Arabidopsis thaliana: one gene and its partners. The protein of the gene in region 3 interacts with the protein of the main gene of each other region in a pairwise test. Each region holds a gene or a part of one and is shown on either strand. Other genes may lie near its edges.

Evidence for each region.
Region 1: the proteins of JAZ6 (region 3) and WSIP2 interact in a two-hybrid assay, tested with the Arabidopsis thaliana proteins (one study listed by BioGRID).
Region 2: the proteins of JAZ6 (region 3) and TPR3 interact in a two-hybrid assay, tested with the Arabidopsis thaliana proteins (one study listed by BioGRID).

What each region holds. Positions count from the first base shown.
Region 1 is NC_003074.8:5,369,018-5,374,214, forward strand, and holds the start of WSIP2 (WUS-interacting protein 2), read right to left. Parts: upstream 3,273-5,197; 5' UTR 3,148-3,272; exon of another isoform or gene 2,916-3,147; 5' UTR 2,853-2,915; coding exon 2,773-2,852; intron 2,603-2,772; coding exon 2,423-2,602; intron 2,334-2,422; coding exon 2,220-2,333; intron 2,109-2,219; coding exon 1,950-2,108; intron 1,866-1,949; coding exon 1,688-1,865; intron 1,603-1,687; coding exon 1,482-1,602; intron 959-1,481; coding exon 837-958; intron 755-836; coding exon 586-754; intron 437-585; coding exon 327-436; intron 91-326; coding exon 21-90; intron 1-20. UniProt on the Arabidopsis thaliana protein: Transcription corepressor of Zinc finger transcription factors GAF1/IDD2 and ENY/IDD1 in regulation of gibberellin homeostasis and signaling.
Region 2 is NC_003076.8:9,509,136-9,517,172, forward strand, and holds the start of TPR3 (TOPLESS-related 3), read right to left. Parts: upstream 6,273-8,037; 5' UTR 6,129-6,272; coding exon 6,049-6,128; intron 5,963-6,048; coding exon 5,783-5,962; intron 5,702-5,782; coding exon 5,588-5,701; intron 5,367-5,587; coding exon 5,208-5,366; intron 5,106-5,207; coding exon 4,931-5,105; intron 4,844-4,930; coding exon 4,714-4,843; intron 4,617-4,713; coding exon 4,504-4,616; intron 4,418-4,503; coding exon 4,282-4,417; intron 4,178-4,281; coding exon 4,068-4,177; intron 3,911-4,067; coding exon 3,689-3,910; intron 3,612-3,688; coding exon 3,516-3,611; intron 3,444-3,515; coding exon 3,351-3,443; intron 3,187-3,350; coding exon 3,059-3,186; intron 2,872-3,058; coding exon 2,637-2,871; intron 2,552-2,636; coding exon 2,390-2,551; intron 2,293-2,389; coding exon 2,218-2,292; intron 2,013-2,217; coding exon 1,878-2,012; intron 1,786-1,877; coding exon 1,675-1,785; intron 1,558-1,674; coding exon 1,378-1,557; intron 1,255-1,377; and 8 more. UniProt on the Arabidopsis thaliana protein: Transcriptional corepressor. Negative regulator of jasmonate responses.
Region 3 is NC_003070.9:27,273,162-27,278,294, reverse strand, and holds JAZ6 (jasmonate-zim-domain protein 6), read left to right. Parts: upstream 1-1,732; 5' UTR 1,733-2,158; coding exon 2,159-2,312; intron 2,313-2,627; coding exon 2,628-2,751; intron 2,752-2,903; coding exon 2,904-3,230; coding exon of another isoform or gene 3,231-3,234; exon of another isoform or gene 3,235-3,754; coding exon 3,755-3,959; 3' UTR 3,960-4,327; downstream 4,328-5,133. Other genes in the region: EDA25 (CCAAT-binding factor), read left to right, coding at 4,699-5,133. UniProt on the Arabidopsis thaliana protein: Repressor of jasmonate responses.

The sequences.
Region 1 (5,197 bases), on a different chromosome or scaffold from region 3:
AAGATCATAGAATGGCTTACCCAGTAGACCTCCATCAGGACTCCAAACAACTCGGTTTACTGCTGCAGTATACTCGCTAGCAAGTGAAGCCTAATGAACAAGAATGAAATCAGACAACGGGTCAGCAAAAGATAAAGATGTCCTTGATATAGTACGTGGCAATATTGAAAGCTTTTATGAGTAATCTATCTCAGAAAACTAGCTATTAACCTTGATATGTTCCTCACTAAAAAGAGAAGAAAATCCTCTGTATAGTTTTAACTAACTAACAACAAATCTCCCACCTCATTCGACTGTTACAGTAGATCAATAAAGAGGAACTATACCTGAAGGTTCACAGTGCAAGTAGCAAGATCCCAAACTTTAAAGCTTCTAGAAACGAGCTTCTCCCTGCTACCCACCTCCCATATTGCAATATCACCAAGATTGGTGCCAACTAGGAAACAAATGTAAATCCAAGATAAAGTAAGCAGATTGTACTGAGAAGATGAAAGTTATGCTGTCTGATACAAGTTTTGCAGGTTTCTCTGGCATAAACCAGAATAAAACAGAAGAATGATGCGTGCTTCAGAGGAGAAAACCAACCAAGGAGCATAGTTTGCTGTACTGGATGAAAATCCATGCTCTTAATGGCAGAACCCTGACTCAAAATCCTGCTAACGTTTTTGGGCAAGTCATCAGTAGAATAAGTTGCATGAGCATGGCTTTGCCCTGGATATGTGACTGGCAAGACATTGACTGGAAGATTATTAACCTGTAAAATGTTCAAAGAAAGTTGTGACTTCTAAGAAAAGTTGAGAACTTAAGCTGAAAAACGAACAAGCAGCCGTTAATACCCCATCTGAAATACCAAAAGGTCTGGGTCTCTTCAACACACTTTCAGAATCTGCCGTCTGATAATCCATTGATAGGCTATTAGTTGGAGGACTCCTGGGACGCTCACGCTTTAACATAGACACTGCAAGGAAAAAAAGAAGAATAAATAGATTATGGTAAGCTATGCAATTGGTAAACACACACAAACTGATCTCCACGTTATGGACTACAAAAAATGAAATAAATAAAAGTTTCAGACCTAAGACAGCACTTCAAGGCTATCTGACATTAAATTAAATGTTTGCTTCTCTATCTATTATCTATAAACAAGAGTATTGTGAAATTAAACAAAACGGCTGATATGAGCATATAGTTCTCTCTCTCTCTCTAATCCACCATAGAGACAGTTTACCACTAAAAACTGCTTTAGTCCGTAAAAGAAAAGAGAGACAGTTTACCACTACAGCTCTGGAAAATGTAACTCAGTAAATATATTTATATCATTTCATGCAGTTCAGTCAGTCAAAGAAGCACAGATAACCATCCAACTAATGATGATCTAAACAAGGGATGGCAAATTACATAACCGTATAAGCTAATATTTGGTAAACTAAATCTCCAACACACATATTTCAGAAGAATAAAATTAGTAGGGACAACATTACCAGCACTGTTGGGGGCACCTAAGCCGATAGGCCCAGCGGAAACAGTAGGGTGTTGTACCGATGGATTAGGCATCCATCCTGCAAGAGATGTTGTAAGAGGAGCTGGTGTTGGCTGAAATGGCTGAACAAGAGCATACAAACTAGCAAAGTTAAATTCATGTGCTAAAAACTAATCCAACAGAAGCTGTAATCTTAGAGCAACTTACACCGTGAGCACCTAATGGTGGGAAGCCTCCAACTTTAGGGACTGAACCCATTAAATGATTAGTTGTAGGGGAAGGAGTGTGTGCACCATTGGGATGCCCACACGTATGGTCAACAAATAGTGTTTTTATATCCGGGTTAGGCCTAGGATTCTTGCAAAGCTGATGTTGCCAGTTCAAACTATGATTCAGCAGAAGCAACGTTCAGTTAGTTGTTCCACCAAAAGAAAAACGGGAGCAAAAGTTAAAAAAACAAAGCTTGTACCTTTGATTTATTAAGGTTCTCAATCTAGAATTCTTCAAACTGGGAAATTGAAGTTTGTCTCGGAAGAGAGGATTTGCTTCAATCAGTTTTTTAAGTTCCCCAAGCATGATACCTCTTGCGGACTTAGTATCTCCATACTTGGAAAGCTGCTCATTTTCCCTTGAATTATTGCAAGTAAATGAAACATCAACACCACAAGCGCATGGTTTATAACAATCCAGTGGTCAATGAAACCATAAAAAAAAAGTGCTAAGAAAGTAAAGAATGTACCTGAAGTTAGTCAAGGTTAAAAGCATGGTAATCTCCTTAAAAAGCTCTTCGTTGAATGTCGAGAACACTTTCAACTCCTTAACAAGAATATCAACCGCCTTGGCATGATCTTTCCTATGGTAAAACAAAAGATGGGAAAACAAATCAATACTCAAAACCACACTTCAATTCAATAAAACTAAACAACACAAGTGAAACTTTACTTGTCAAGTGCTTCAAGGTACTTCTGCTTCCGAATCTCGAAAAATATTTTCATAGAGTATCTATTATCATCAACTTTAGTGAATCCAGAAAGATACTTCTCTACATCATCCCATTCACCAGCTGTTACACTATCTTCAAAGTACCTCATGTTGAAGAAAAAACCAGACTCTTTCTCCAACCTAATTAGTCAAAAAAAATATCCAAAGTTGTAACTGCTTCTGGATTAACATTGAAGAAATAATGCTAAATTACAAAATCAAAATTAATTAATCTTAATCCCTACTTTACTCTAATCCCGACAATCAAAGGAAGAGGGACCGCAATTAAACAATGATATAATATAAATTACCTGTGAACAGTATCTTTGAATTTCTCTTCATCGAGAAACTGAAGTATTAAAAACACGAGTTCTCTGCTGAGTGACGACATATCCTCTTCTTATTGCTCGCTCTCCGAAAGTAACAGATCGATCACAATACCACTCATGAACCACTAATCAAACACAAAGACACAAAGAGAGAATTAGGGTTTTATAAAAGAAAACATCTTCTTCACACCCCAAAAAAGGAAAGACAGATCTAAAAAAAAAAACGAAATCGATCGAATTCGAAAGACGAATCCCCCCAAACCCAGGTGGCACGAGATGTGCACGTGCGAGAATATACGAGAGAGGCTCCCGAGAAAGAGATTAAAGAAAAAAAGGAAAGTTTATAAATATAAATACCTGTTGAATTTTGACTTTGAAGAAGGAGAGAGACAAAGCAGAGAGGAAGAAGAGGAAGAAGAAGAAGAAGAAGAAGAAGACTTTGGAGAAGAGAGAGAGAGAGACGTGGGGGCTATTTATGGCGATAATTTCTGATGCTGTCTCGTTTTCGGAGTTTCCTTTTTTTTTTTTTGGATTTATTGCTTTTTATTTTAATTTATGAGTTTTTATGATTTAATTAATTTGTTTTTGTGTGGTCGTTGGGCTTCTATTTTTTTTAATAGAAGCGTGTATTTTGTAGATAGGAATTTACTCAAAAAGCTTAATCTCCCCACTATAATAAGTAACCTTCGTTTTAATTACTTTTTCTAAAATTTATTTTAATTTAATGTTTTCGTATTTTATTTTAATTTAAGTGACGTATTGATGTTGTTGCGAATCTAGTACAACACTGCTGTCTAATTTAATGCTCTCTCGTTAGGTTTTGAACGTAGCTGGGGATTTTTTTTTGTTTTTCAAACTATACATTAAAGTAGAGTATCTCATAATTGGTTTATTTCTGTTTCTGTATAGAATTTAGTGCCATTATATTATTTTTATGACATCAACTAACCGTCAATTAATATTGCAAATATTTTTTTTATGAATTAATTATTTAAGTAATGGATTTTGAAGTTTTTAATTTAGAGAAGAATAGCAGTAAATCAGATGTGATATTTTTATTTCCAGTTATGTAGTACGCAAATTAATTAAATTTTATTTTCTTCATCTTTTATTGTCAAAAAAACAAATTAAAGGTTTTATGGATAATTTACTTTTGGAAAAATATAAATCTTATGTGGTAACAAATAAGTGAATTTTACAAATGTGTATTCTTTCTTTTTTGTTATAGTAATTCACAGTAAAAAGTGGAGTTTTATTCTATAATACGGTTTGTAACGCATTTCCGTGAATATATTATGCTAATTTGTTAGGAATTTAAGAGATATGGCCTATTCACATGTTTAGTTTTGTTCTATTTATAAAAAAAAAAAAAATCAAAATTTATATTTGTACTTTATTTTTTTTCCCATGGATGTTTTGGCTAGTAATTACTATGCTACTTCAACAGTCCATCCACATTATGGTTCTAGTAGGAGTCATATCAAATCTTCTTACAAGTATTCCTACACCAGTATTGCTTACATTGGTTTGGGCTTTTAGGTCTAGATTATCGGGGGAATTGACTGGCCCAATTGCTAAACATGATTGGGAATCAATTTCGTCCCAAACATGTTTTCCTTGAACAATCACTTTGATGACAATGACACACCCAGACAGTTATCAATGACTGCAATTAATCAGCAAATGGTTCCATAAGCCCATCTGCCCATGTTGGTGAAGAAGCATCACCTCAAATATATAATTTTAAGATGAGAGAGCAAACATTCCTTTCTGATCGCTCTGAATATTTTAGCAATTTACTAAACGTAAAGTTATTTTCATAGCTTTAATTCAAAATTTCTGTAACTAGAGCTAGCAAAGAAACAAAGACTTGTGTTTAATATTATATTTTTGAAGAAGATAGTAGAATCTTCTGTCTATTTGTTTAATATTTGAAACATCGAATAAATGGTTTCAATGAGTTGTCCTGACTCATCAGCCGACCCTTAACAATGACTACAACAACTTCAAATTTTAAAACATCAAGTATCTTCAACAACATACCCTTTCCGTTTTATATTAAATAATTGGTAAAATCCAGCTTATTTATAATTATGTTATTTCTGTATAATACATTACAGAAGAGTAAAACAAAAACTTTAAAACGACACATATAATAAAAAGGAAAAATAAATAAATAGATATGAGAAAAAAATACAGTTGGAACTTAATATATACACTTTTATACAACGGATACTAACGTTCAAAAATTTTATTCTTCTTTTGGTTAAAGTTTTATTTATTGTTTATGACTTTTCCATATCAGCTTCTTTTTTAATACTATATATATATTTTTAAAATTTGTTTATTTTATGCGAGCAAAAAAAAAAAAAAGTGTGCAAAAATAATAAAAAAGAACAAAATAAAT
Region 2 (8,037 bases), on a different chromosome or scaffold from region 3:
AGAAGAGTTTATAACTATTTTGGCTTATGAAAATATACCAATTTCTCATGTTTCAGAAGTCAATTTAAGTCTATTATACAGATTCATGTACCAAACCTTACAAAGTACAGTGATTTAGAAATAAGAATCTGATGAAATGTTGGATAAACTTACCCTTGAGGCAAGTAGGCGGATGGAGAGATACGACATCTTAATCTGAGACTGTCCGCGTCAAATACTCCAATGTTACCATCGCGGAAAGTGGTGTAGATCAGCTGGCTGTTGCATGCGTACACCGCTGAAGATATAGGAGCAGACAGCGAGTCTTGTGGAATCCACTGAGACATGAAAACAAGAGAACATAAGTCATTACAAATTTCAAAATAATGATTAAGAATATGTATATATGACCTTGCATTTCATATATACATGCCAGGTCAGAGATGATCCATTTTATATAAGTGGATTTACAGAGATGATCTCATCATAGTCATAGATACCTGTCGGATACATTCCATCTTGGAAGCATCAAATACCGCCAGTTGTGTCTCGTGGACTACCAGAATACGCAACTGATCCACATGAAACTGAACCCGCGTGTCTCCATTGGCGGCTTTTCCTGCTGGCATTTGTATTGCAACGGATTTCCTCTTCTCCCATGTGTCAATGCTCCAAAAGCAGATCTAAGAGAAGACAACAGGAAGAATAAGTATCCTCCTAGATTAGATAAGTCTAATGGTAGAAAATCCAGCAAGGAAACAACACAAAATAATCAAGCATTTTTCCCTTCAGTTGAGATATATTTACTACAGGACAACAACAACAACAACAAGACGCAGCATAACACACCTGTGCATCAGCACCAGATGAAACCAAGATGTTGAGGGCTGTAGAAAATGCTAGGCCTGTGATGCGTTTCTGGTGACCCTTTAGCTTTGATTTGACCTGATGGAACACAATATGCAAGTTTCAGATCGTTGATAGAGTTTTAAGGCAACATTAGCAGTGAGGGGAAAATTAAACTGTAAAACATATGTGAAGCTATGAGAACCATTTCTTCAAAAAACGTAAGGTTCACAAGTTTTTCCTTGTCATAGATCAAAAAGACTACATAAGTGGCAATGGTTAGTACTAGAAACTACTTACCTCATCCACTCGGACATTATAGATGTGAATCGTAGAGTCTTCCATTCCAATGGCGATGACGTTATTGTCCTGAGGATGGAACGCCAAAAACGTTGATGCTGGTGGAGGCGGCATGAATGTTGTCATCACCTATAAGGCCAATAGTTTTTTTGTGGAAATTAGAACAACCAAAAGAGTTTACTAGATTAGTGTGAGAACATTTTCAGTTAGAAATCTTGTGGCTTTTTTTAAGTTCATATAGATAATATATACCTTAAAAGTCATCATGTTGAACAACGAGACTTTTCCTCCAGCAGCAGACATGACATATGAGTCGTTCTTAGAGAGAGCGATGCATGGGGCAGCGTTTTCAAGGTTTACACCAGACACATCATTGGTCATAAGAAGACCACTGTTTGGTTGCCAATGCTGAGGAACAACAGTAGCAGTTGCCTGCATAATAAACAGTACTTAAATAAAACCGCACACAGCATGCATTAAGCTATCTCTAACTCTTTAAAACCGCAGACAGCATGCATTAAGCTCTCTCAAACTCTTTTTTACGATTACCTTTCCACTAGGGTTCTGCTCATTGGGAACCCACTTCCAGAGTCTCTGGATACCATTGGAACCTAGTGCCAAGATTCCAGCACCGGAATTCGTATACAGAAGCTGAACAACCTGCTTTCCCACGCAGCATGAGAAAATTAAGCCTCAATTTCAAAACATTTATAGAAATCCAACAACTTTCTGAGAAAGATAACTGCACAAACCTTTGTGGAAGAACCAGCGGTATCGGGTAAAGTAGCTTGGAAACACTGGGAAGGGTCCAAGATTTCAGCTAATTGCCAAGATTTTGGTTTGTCTGTTGAGTCATCGATTCTCGACTTTGAGGGATCAACTCCATTCTTGAGGATATTCAGAAAAAAAAGATTAGTAAATATTTTTTTTAAACATGACAAAAAAATCGGAAACAGTCAACTACTATAGTCAGAGAATAGTAAACTACAATTTCGACAAATGGAAGTTCACTTCATTTACAACCGAAAATCCAGAACAGAATAATAAATTATAGAAATGGCTAGAAACATAGCATTTAATGAGTGATTTTACCAGCATTTGTGAGTGTCTAACAGGAGAGCCTCGTTCAACTTTACAATTGACAGACGCAACAGGAGCACCAGGAACCTAACAGAATATACCAAAGTGTGTAAACCGAGACAGCTTGTAATGACAGTGGATGTAAAAAAGGGAAAAAATGTAATACAAAGTTGAGAAACATTACAGCTTTGAAATCAACTGGAGTCCTCATCGTTTCAGAAGCTGGAGTTTCCATCGCTCGAAGAGATCGGAAACCAGCTGGATTAGCTAGGATCTTAAATCCGTTATCTGCCGTAGTAACGGCTAGAAGATTGCCGTCCTTGTTAAATCTCAAATGGGGAAGAGCCTGAAGTTGGGACAAGTTATATGCAAACCTAAAAAGACGAACATCCAAGCAACAAGCCATGGGAAAAAGAATCTTTGGGACTTACCGGAAGTCCACCCTCAGCATCAGTGCTAGTCAGAACATTGATGTTGTTCATATCCCAAAATTTGATTTGTCCATCTTCACCAACAGCCAGAAAATGGTTTTTTGAGGTATCGAACTGAACCACACCTGCCAACTTTTTCTGAAACTCTTTATACGTCCTTTTAATTGATCCTTCACTTTCATTCCACTCAACTAGGAAAGAATCTCCATCTTTACTCGTTCCACAAGAGAACAATCTGAAGGGGGAAAAAACATCAGAAAGCACTGAAAAGGTAAACTTAAAACAGAAAGATAAGATTAGAAACTCAAGGACACAACTCAGTATCCTCCGGAGTAAACAAAAGAATCTGAAGATTTTGGAAACTGAGGAGTGAAGAACAAGCGGTATAGAAGAGGGAAATGTTTATGAGTTTAAGATCTTACCTAGTACCATCAGCACTGTAAAGCATCCTCGTACACCATTTACCGGGAGCATCATAGTCAACTCTGGAACCCAGATTATCATAAAGCCAGGCTTTTATTTTCCCATCTATGGCGGTTGAAAATATGAACTGAAATCCAAATAAGAACGAGATGTATTTTGGTAAAGAACAGAAATTCATAGGCAAGATAATACTATATGAAATGTGTCGTCTACTTTATTGTTCTTCAAACGGATTGGTAAAACAGTATAATAATTGATGTAAAATATAGTTTGATTCAATCCTTGCCGCACCTGAATGTTCTCTTTGTAATGAGGGCAAATGGAATAAACTGGAGCGTCGTGGCCTTCAAAAGTAAAATGCTTCCGACCAGAAACATCCCATACCTGTTCCACATTGATCAAGTTAGCCAGCTGCATTGATATCTAACAGTGAAACTTTGTGACTCTTTATCTCACCTTGATTAATTTATCATCTCCGCAAGTAATTACACATAGTTGTCTGTTTGGATTGGCGAAAGCCAAGTCGTTCACAGCACCGACATGGGCATCAATCTGTGAAAAAGTGATCTAGTCTCAGTGGGATATTATTACATCGCAATATTTCTCGTACAGATCACAAGTATGCTTACCTCAGTATGTTGGCGAAGATCATTAGGTCCAGAGAAAGCGTACAACTGAATTAGATGTTTTGTAAACGCAACCCCTGCACAATAAGAGACTGAGACCAGAGACCATAGACAACATACAATTAAAATCCAACAATGCATGACGGGAAGCTTACCAATGAAATTTCCATCCGGACTCCATGCAACGCGAGTGACAGATATCGGTGTTTCTTTAGCTATCAAAGCCTGAATGATGCCAAAAGAAAGGCAAGTATAAGAATCTTGCACAGCAACTAGTTTGCTGATACGTTTTATCTCCAACACTTCTCATAGCCATTTGGTTGAATTCCGCCTTTATACATCAAACACATAAACTAAAAACTTCTTAGCTGTAAAGACAAACCTGAAACTGATGTGAGCAATTAGACATATCCCATATCTTGAATGGCCTTGAAACCAGCCTCTCTCGAGCGGCAAGTTCCCACAATGTGATTTCTCCCGTCGCAGATCCAACTGATGGCATTCAAACGGTCATTCAGAAAGCCAAATAAGAGATAACAGAAATATAACTTCAAACACAGTTTAGAATTTGTATTCTTTTTTTCAAACCCCCATACCAAGAAGTAACGTGTTTTGCATAGGGTAGAACTCCATGCTTGTCACAGTGGACCCTTGATGCAGCGCCAGAGCTGCCTTTGTTGGCAAATCTTCCAGCGACCATGGAGCTTGCTGCCTAGGAGCAGGATATGTCACCTGGAAAATGATAAATGCTTAGAATTTTGAGAAGATGCAAGAATTATATAAACAGCTTTCCAGAAAAAGAAAAGAATTCGCGTTACCTCCTCCACAGATGGAGCAGGGCGGAGACGCTTCATTAGTTCATGATCAGGATTCTGATAATCTACTATACCTGGAGTTGCTGGTGGTGTTCTTGGTCGCTTCAAGATTGACACTTTTTGGAAGAAAAATAATAAGTTTTTGATGGAAACTGAAATGATAGTTATTGATAAGTCGAGGATTAGAAATCTAGAGGATCGTCAAAAACTAACTTTGATTCTGAGGTTGAGGCATCAAGGCAGGTGTAACAACGGCAGCTTGGACAGCAGAAGCACCAGAGGCAGCAGCCATCCAACTAGCTAAAGCACCAGCATTAGCAGCAGCAGGACCAGGTGGAAAGGGCTACATGTAATACAGATTCCACAAACATTAAGATTAATTTAGATTCAAAAAACATGATTAAAGCAGTCAAACATCGAGGTTTCTTACAACATGAGGTCCAAGTGACGGATAAGCTGCTGGCTTCGTCAAAGTAGTAACAGGCTGATTGACTGCTGAAGGTGCGAGAGGACCATTCGGAAGTGTGCAAGTGTGGTCTGTGAATAGAGTTTTAATATCTGGGTTTGGCCTAGGATTCTTGCACAACTGGTGCTGCCAATTGAGGCTGCAAGAGAACATATGCACAATGAATCATCCAACAACGAAGTCATCCAAACCTCATCTGCAACATACAGAATGGTCATGAGGAAAGAAAAAAGAAACACACCTTTGATTAATCAGAGTCCGCAGTCTCGAAGATCTCAAAGTAGGGAACATCAATTTATCACGAAAAAGTGGATTCGCTTCAATTAGTTTTTTAAGTTCGCCTAGCATTATGCCCCGAGCAGTTTTAGTGTCTCCATATTTTGAAAGCTGCTCATTTTCCCTGCAGATTCATGAAAATCATTGATGTCAAATTTCAATCCACAAAACGCAAACAATCGAGAGAGAAACTCGAGTATCACACCCTCTTTCACATCCAAACAAAAACAGTCTACAAAGCATCACGAACTCGACTTGGACTGAACCTAAACCAAGTCTCATATTCCTACTTTCCATAACAACAGAAACATCAACAAGGAGAGATCAAAATTCAATATATCATACCTAAAGTTTTGCAAAGTTAAGAGTTGAGTGATTTCTTTGTAAAGCTCCTCATTGAAAGTGGAGAAAACTCTCAAATCTTGCACTAGTATCTCAACTGCTTTTGCCTTCTCTTGCCTGTAACAACAGAGAACATCAAACTCTAAAACCACAAATCTTCAAGAGTAAAAAAACAAATAAGACAGCTTATAATCATACCGATCAAGAGCCTCGAGATACTTCTGCTTCCTAATTTCAAAGAAAATCTTCATAGAGTATCTGTTATCATCAACCTTAGTAAAACCTGACAAATACGTCTCAACATCATCCCATTCTCCAGCTAGAACTTTCTCATCAAAATACTTGGTATTGAAGAAGAATCCTGACTCTTTCTCAAGCCTATATTTAACAAATTACAAATCAGTCAATCCCAAAATTCAGCCTCTCACAACACAACACAAAACAAACCATATAAATAGACTAACCTGTGCACAGATTCCTTAAATTTCTCTTCCTCCAGAAATTGAAGTATCAGAAACACCAACTCTCGACTCAACGACGACATTCTCAACGAATCTCAAATCTGACGAGAAACGAAGAAGAGAGACGACGAAAGAAACACGAATCCGAGCTCTGAAGACACGAGCCCAGGTAAAGACTCTGATTTCGAGGATTTCTAGGGTTTTGAAGAGCTCTAGCTTTTAGAGAAAAATGGAGAGAGAGAGAGAGAATATATAAAGAAGGAGGAGAAGATTGGGGGATTGAGAAACTTTAGACCTCGCTTTCTTGGACGCGTTCTTCTTTGCACAGAGACATCGTTCTACCGACTTATCAGATATAAGCGGAGTCTTCGTCGGTGATAAGTAGGCTTCCTTATAAGAGAGGTAGGTTAAGTTATTATCAAATTGAGTGATAAGTTGATTTGGAGATAGAGTGGCGGATTCGAAAACAAAATTCAAATAGTGTGAATATTCTGTGCACACGTCCAGTCTGGTCCCCACATTTTTCTCTCTCCTTTATTATGTCGCTCTCAGCTTTCGATGCACTCTTCGTTTGGCTTTTCTCATATTATCCTTTTTTTCTTTTTCTCGCGATATTTTTGAGATCTCTTTTTCGCAAGATTTAATTAAGTGTTCGTGACAATTACAATGTGGACAATTCAACATCTCGCAGGTTACGTCATATATAATTATATATACTCATATTATAATCTTTGCTTTTTTTTTTAGGCATACACCAGGAGAATTACTCGTGTTCTCCATGGCGAAATGAGATTATTTATAAAAGAAAAACATAATATGGATTTAGAAAATAGATATTTGAAAAGAAAAATAATAAAAAAAGGAAAATAATATTTTTAATATTTCTTTTTATTTGATTTTTTAGGAAAAACATAAATATTAAAAAAAGACATATTAAATCTTGTTTTTTAAATGTACTATTTTTTATAATTTAAAATTTTTAATAACTTTAAACCAATAATATTCAATAATTTTTATTGAAGTTTACAATTTATCAATTATAACTAATAAGTATTGTATTGAAAACCTATAAAATTAATCTTTTTGAAACATTTTTTTTCTAGAAAATCAAATAAAAGAAACATATGGAGTATGAAAATAACTTATTAAGTATATATAAAATAAAATTTTATAGAGGCCGAATACATTAACTTTATTAGAATTAAGATTTACAAGTATTTAAGAGATAGAAAAAAATGATTAGGATATAACAATATGGTTTACATGTATATTCTTTATACGTCCTTTTAGTATGGAAGTACTCGTGTAGCTCTAATTTTGGAACTTTTTTTTTGAAATATTGATTTCGCTAAAGATTTAGTGAATGTATTTGCTAACTGATCACCAATGGAGACATGAGTAATCTGAAGCATTCCAGCTTGAATTAAGTGCTATATATATGGTTCATTCGAGAATAGAAAACCGGATTGGTACCGAGGTAAGTGGCACCAACATTTTCACAATATATCATATATATTCTTTATACCATTTAGAATTGTAAGCTTTGGTACCATATAGAGGCTAAATGTATTGACTTTATTTTAGAATGAGATTTACAGGTATTTATAGAGAGATAGAAAAGTGATTAGGGTATACTAATGAGAACAATACAATTTACAAATATATCTTATAAATTTAAGGATAAATGTCAATTTTCATTTTTTAAAAACACGATAGATACAAATCGAGGTTAATTCTTCAAAACCTAACTTAAGTAAAATAAGAAATTTGATACTATGTTTCCTAACTTAAGTAAAATTTACTTATTAACATAAATGTAGAAAATATTTTTAAATTTGTTTTTTTCTTGATAATTTAAGGATAAACTAGGTAAGAATGCGTGCCATATATGGATAAATTATATGATATTACATTTTATAAATTCTGTACTATTTAATTTTATAAATAGTTTTATTAATAATATTTCCAAATGACTCTATTTTTAATATGAAG
Region 3 (5,133 bases):
TGTTGTAAAACGGACCTACATTCGTAGTCGTTACCCCTAAATTTTAAACAAATTTTATGTTTAGTATTGTCATACGTCAATGCAAATGAGTTGTATAATCTTTCAATATTGTCTTCTAATTTTATTTTATTTTCTGATAAGTACCATTTTATTTATGAAGATAACGACTGTACAGAGAATTCCCACCACAAGCTCAAGCTGCAAGACCAAACTTACCCGAAGACAACCTGTTACAGAGACACGCTAGCTCGTAACACTAGATAGAAAGGAAATCTTACCCAGCTCAAAGATTAAGTCTGAAGCACACCTAACCCAAAACTGTTGACACCATCTTGATTATGTCCATATATGAACTTAGGTCTCAAAACAACAACTATTTATTTGATAAATGTTGATATACTCTATTGCTTAAAGGAGAGTCCAACTTCGAGTGGTGACCGGAAGGTTTCGCCGTTGCCTTTTCTTTTTTGCCGTTAACGTTGGTTTGGTAGTCTTAGTAGAATCTTCTCACAATCTTGATTTTTGCATATCAAATCTGTTAGAATATGACATTCCCTTATTTTGGACATGATCAAATATGTGATCGAAACCCAACTTGCGCTTCCAACAATGTAGATAATCTTCATGTGAAATAGCGAATATTATTTGGTCTTTTGTATGTATTAGAAAATGACAATGGATCTATATTGTGTAATTAAATACACACATACATGTGTATATATTAGACTCAAGTTGTTGTTCAACTCTTGAAATCATATGATATTGAAGAGTCTTCAAAGTTCAAAGTATTATGTTCTCATTTTGCAAGTTGCGATAAATAATTCAATAAAAATGATTTTTTCCCTTGGCGCGATCGTCTACGACATTTTGTTTTAAATTCTTTTTTGGTACTCTTTGGCATTGCCTCTTATTCAAATAAAATTCAACGCTCGACTTCATTGAACAAAACGATTAAAAGATTTTATTATTATTATTGTTATAGAAATAATATTTAACTGAGCAAGTAACAAAATTCATATTAGGACTAAACAGAAATCGTTAACCTTTTACCAACATACAAAACCACAAATTCTAATATTAATTACACTCAGTTTTTGTAATTAAAAACAGAAAAGAAAATTAGGCCTATGAAGTATGAACGCTATAATATCCTTTAGCAAAGAGGGAAAAAAAACGCAAATCATGCATGAAATAAGGTTGGTACCGCCAAGATTCCGACACGTGTTGACATCCTAAACGCACATAACAATACTTCACGTGTCCTTAAACTTTGTCGGGGATAAGTAATTGACACCATTCATCGATAAATATCCACTCACAAGTCGTACTGTTGCTAATGGATCCCACATATTAAATTCGTATTAGCCATCGCAGCCGACGCGAGACTTAACTCCGTCAGAACTCCGTTAGACTATAGCGTTTGCAAATGCCCTCATTTACGCCCTTTAATAACGAATATCCTAACCACCACTAAACGAATTACCTCAGAAGGGTAAATTAGTATTTAACAGAAACTCTTGGGACCCGAATGAATTAAATGGGTTAACGCCTTTATGTAATGTCGCCGTCAACTTACAACAGTTTCTTCACGGCTTGTGCAATGAAAACGTGCCGGAACTTGTAACGAACATTGTAGTTTGATTTTTGTAATCAACCATAGGAATAAATCATTTTTTCCGCATATAATTTATTTCCCTATTTCTATTCGTGACAAAACATTTGAGGATATAGGAAATTAATAGCCTATAATATGTTTGACCATAAAAAGAATTTCTTCTTCTTGAACCATCATAAGAAAAATGTGTGTTTAGTCTATTGATCAGTTTTGTGTTCAAAAAAAAAAAAAAAATGTCTATCGATCAGTTAGGTGTAAAAAAAAAAGTTACAAAACTCGTGACAAAAACATTCTATATTGGACACACATCACTGTCACTTCAGACTAAATAAAAAAAAAGAACACGTTATTTCGTTTTCTTTATTTATTCGGGAGAGGTTAAAAGCCACAGAAACTTATTGGCTAGAATTGGTTATTTATAACAACAACACATGAGCAAAAAGCTCAAAACATCTACATACTCTTTGGAATCCTCGATTTTTTGTACGTGTAAAGAAGTCACACAAGAAAATCTTGGGTTGTTGTAATCTTCATCACACTAGTATGTCAACGGGACAAGCGCCGGAGAAGTCCAATTTTTCTCAGAGATGTAGTCTGCTCAGCCGGTACTTGAAGGAGAAGGGAAGTTTTGGGAATATTAATATGGGGTTGGCTCGAAAATCCGATCTTGAACTCGCCGGAAAATTCGATCTCAAAGGTATTTATTTATTTTTCCCTATCTATTCCGACGGCCGCCGCCTATAAAGACCAAAGTTTATATCATATACTTTTAGTATCCTGCTTCGTTGATTATTAGCATAAAGTTTAACTATATATTTTTTTTGTTGAAATGCAAAATTTTAAATCATTTTTTTCTTTTCTTTTCTTTAAACTTAAGCATGGTATTATTTTGGACAGCTTAAGTATATTAAAGTTAGAGATTCTGTGAAGTTTTTTAAAAAACGTAATAAACATGTAATTTGATTTTGATAAATTTTAATCGGTTTGCAATTTCTGTTCTAATTTGTTTTAGGACAACAAAATGTGATTAAGAAGGTAGAGACCTCAGAAACTAGACCGTTCAAGTTGATTCAGAAGTTTTCTATTGGTGAGGCCTCTACTTCTACCGAAGACAAAGCCATATATATTGATCTCAGGTACTGTACACACAAACTTCATATGTATTCGAACTCCTAAAGTGTTTGTTTTCACATTTTGTAGCAATTGAATTAGAGAAAGAACTACCGGTTATAGATGTATGGACTATGGAGTTTGACTAATTGTAAAAATGGGTTTGATTTGATTTTAGTGAACCGGCAAAAGTAGCACCGGAGTCTGGAAATTCACAGTTGACCATATTCTTTGGAGGAAAAGTTATGGTTTTCAACGAGTTTCCTGAAGACAAAGCTAAGGAGATAATGGAAGTAGCTAAAGAAGCGAATCATGTTGCTGTTGATTCTAAGAACAGTCAGAGTCACATGAATCTTGACAAAAGCAACGTGGTGATTCCCGATCTTAACGAGCCAACGAGTTCCGGGAACAATGAAGATCAAGAAACTGGGCAGCAACATCAGGTTGTGGAACGCATTGCAAGAAGAGCTTCTCTTCATCGATTCTTTGCTAAACGAAAAGACAGGTAAACTAAACTCCGAAACTGTTTTGTGCTTGGTTATGCTTTTTCTAGGCCGCTCGTCAAAATGTATGCATAGATTAGGATCAAAGTTTCTTAAAAAAGTTATATGTAAAAATAGCTAATAATTACCATATTAAGACTTATTCGAGTTATTCTAGGAATCCCACATCGGATTAGAAGCGTATTACCAATCAAGTTTAAGTTGAACATTCATGAAATTGAACATAGGGTGGTCCTAGTATGTTTATGAATTATGATTCCTAGAGTAAGATTTCGAGATGTGACTCAAGTGTCATCATTTATAAAGAACATGTAAAAAATCTTACAAGTTACAATGAAATTCGAGATGGGACCTAGAGTAGTATATAAGAGATATGAGTCCATCATCTATGTGTCCTTGATCTAGGAAAATTATTAGTAAAATGTCGAGAAATTTCTAGTTAAAAAACACTAACTAAGAGTTCTTTGTAAATCAAAACTTCAATATCTACTTTGTCTTAAATGTTGATTAATTGTTTTGATTTCAGGGCTGTGGCTAGAGCTCCATATCAAGTGAACCAACACGGTAGTCATCTTCCTCCCAAGCCAGAGATGGTTGCTCCATCGATAAAGTCAGGCCAATCGTCGCAACACATTGCAACTCCTCCAAAACCAAAGGCCCATAACCATATGCCGATGGAGGTGGACAAGAAAGAAGGACAATCTTCCAAAAACCTTGAACTCAAGCTTTAGGGCGTATAAAATGCACGATCGAGTTCACGTTTCTAGTTTTCACTTATTTAGGATTTGAACCCAAATACCCTTTTATATTTTCTTCCATTACTTTTGACCAATTTAAGTTATTTATAGTACTGTATTACGTAGCTAGTATTTATATTTCAAAACATACATATTTTGATACTTGTTTTTTAGATTCTTTAATTAAAATTGTCATCTGGATTACCCTTTATCGAAATTTTTTAATCACCTGATATAATCTCACCAGTGATGGATTTGCGTTGTTAGTAATTTTTCTAAGTGGCAAAAGTATATTAACCTATAATAGGTTTCAAAGATATACATATAATGTTTCTATCAAAGATATTAGTATAATATTTTACCACATGATCGAAATCTCACCAGTTATGGATTTGCATTGAATGTTCTAGCGATTGGGCTGGACCGTCTCAGGAACCCAACCTTAATGAAAAAACATCGTCTCATTGATTTTAGGTCGTTAAGTCTGTTTTGCCCTTGTCTTATCCCGTAATTACGAAATTAGCCTTCTACCATTTCCTCTGTCTGCTTCTCTCTTGCCGTTTTCTAAAACCCTAAAAATTTCTGTTGAACCCCAAACATTGAAGTTTATCTTTCTTTTTCATTGTTCGATCTCAAAGCACAGAGATTGCTTAAACCTAACTGTCTCAGTTCTTTTAAAAACAGTCATCTCTCACAAAACTCTCTTAACCCTCTTCATATGCTTTGAGAAAAAATGTCAAAGATAAAGCCTTTGAGTAAATCATCGCAGGACTTGAGTCTTCTCACATCTGATATCGCATCATTCGCTTCTTCTATTGGCTTAGCTTCTGCTCTTCCTTCTTCGGGTTTCAACGACACTGATTTCCGAAAACCAGCTAAATCCAAAACCCAGAAACGGAAAAAGCCTAAGAAGGATCAGCAACACAAGGATGAAGATGAAGAAGGAGAGCCAAAATCGAACATTGGGAATGAAAAGGGAAAAGATTTTGGAGCGAGGAAGCAAAACAAAGATGCACCGGTGAAGCAAACGTTACAACCGAAGCCAAAGCCTGGATTCTTATCGATTGATGATGAGAGTACTGGGTACAAGAAAAAACGTTTCGATGAATTCAAGAGTTTGCCTAAGTTACCATTGGTGAAAGCGAGTTTATTGAGCTCTGAATGGTAC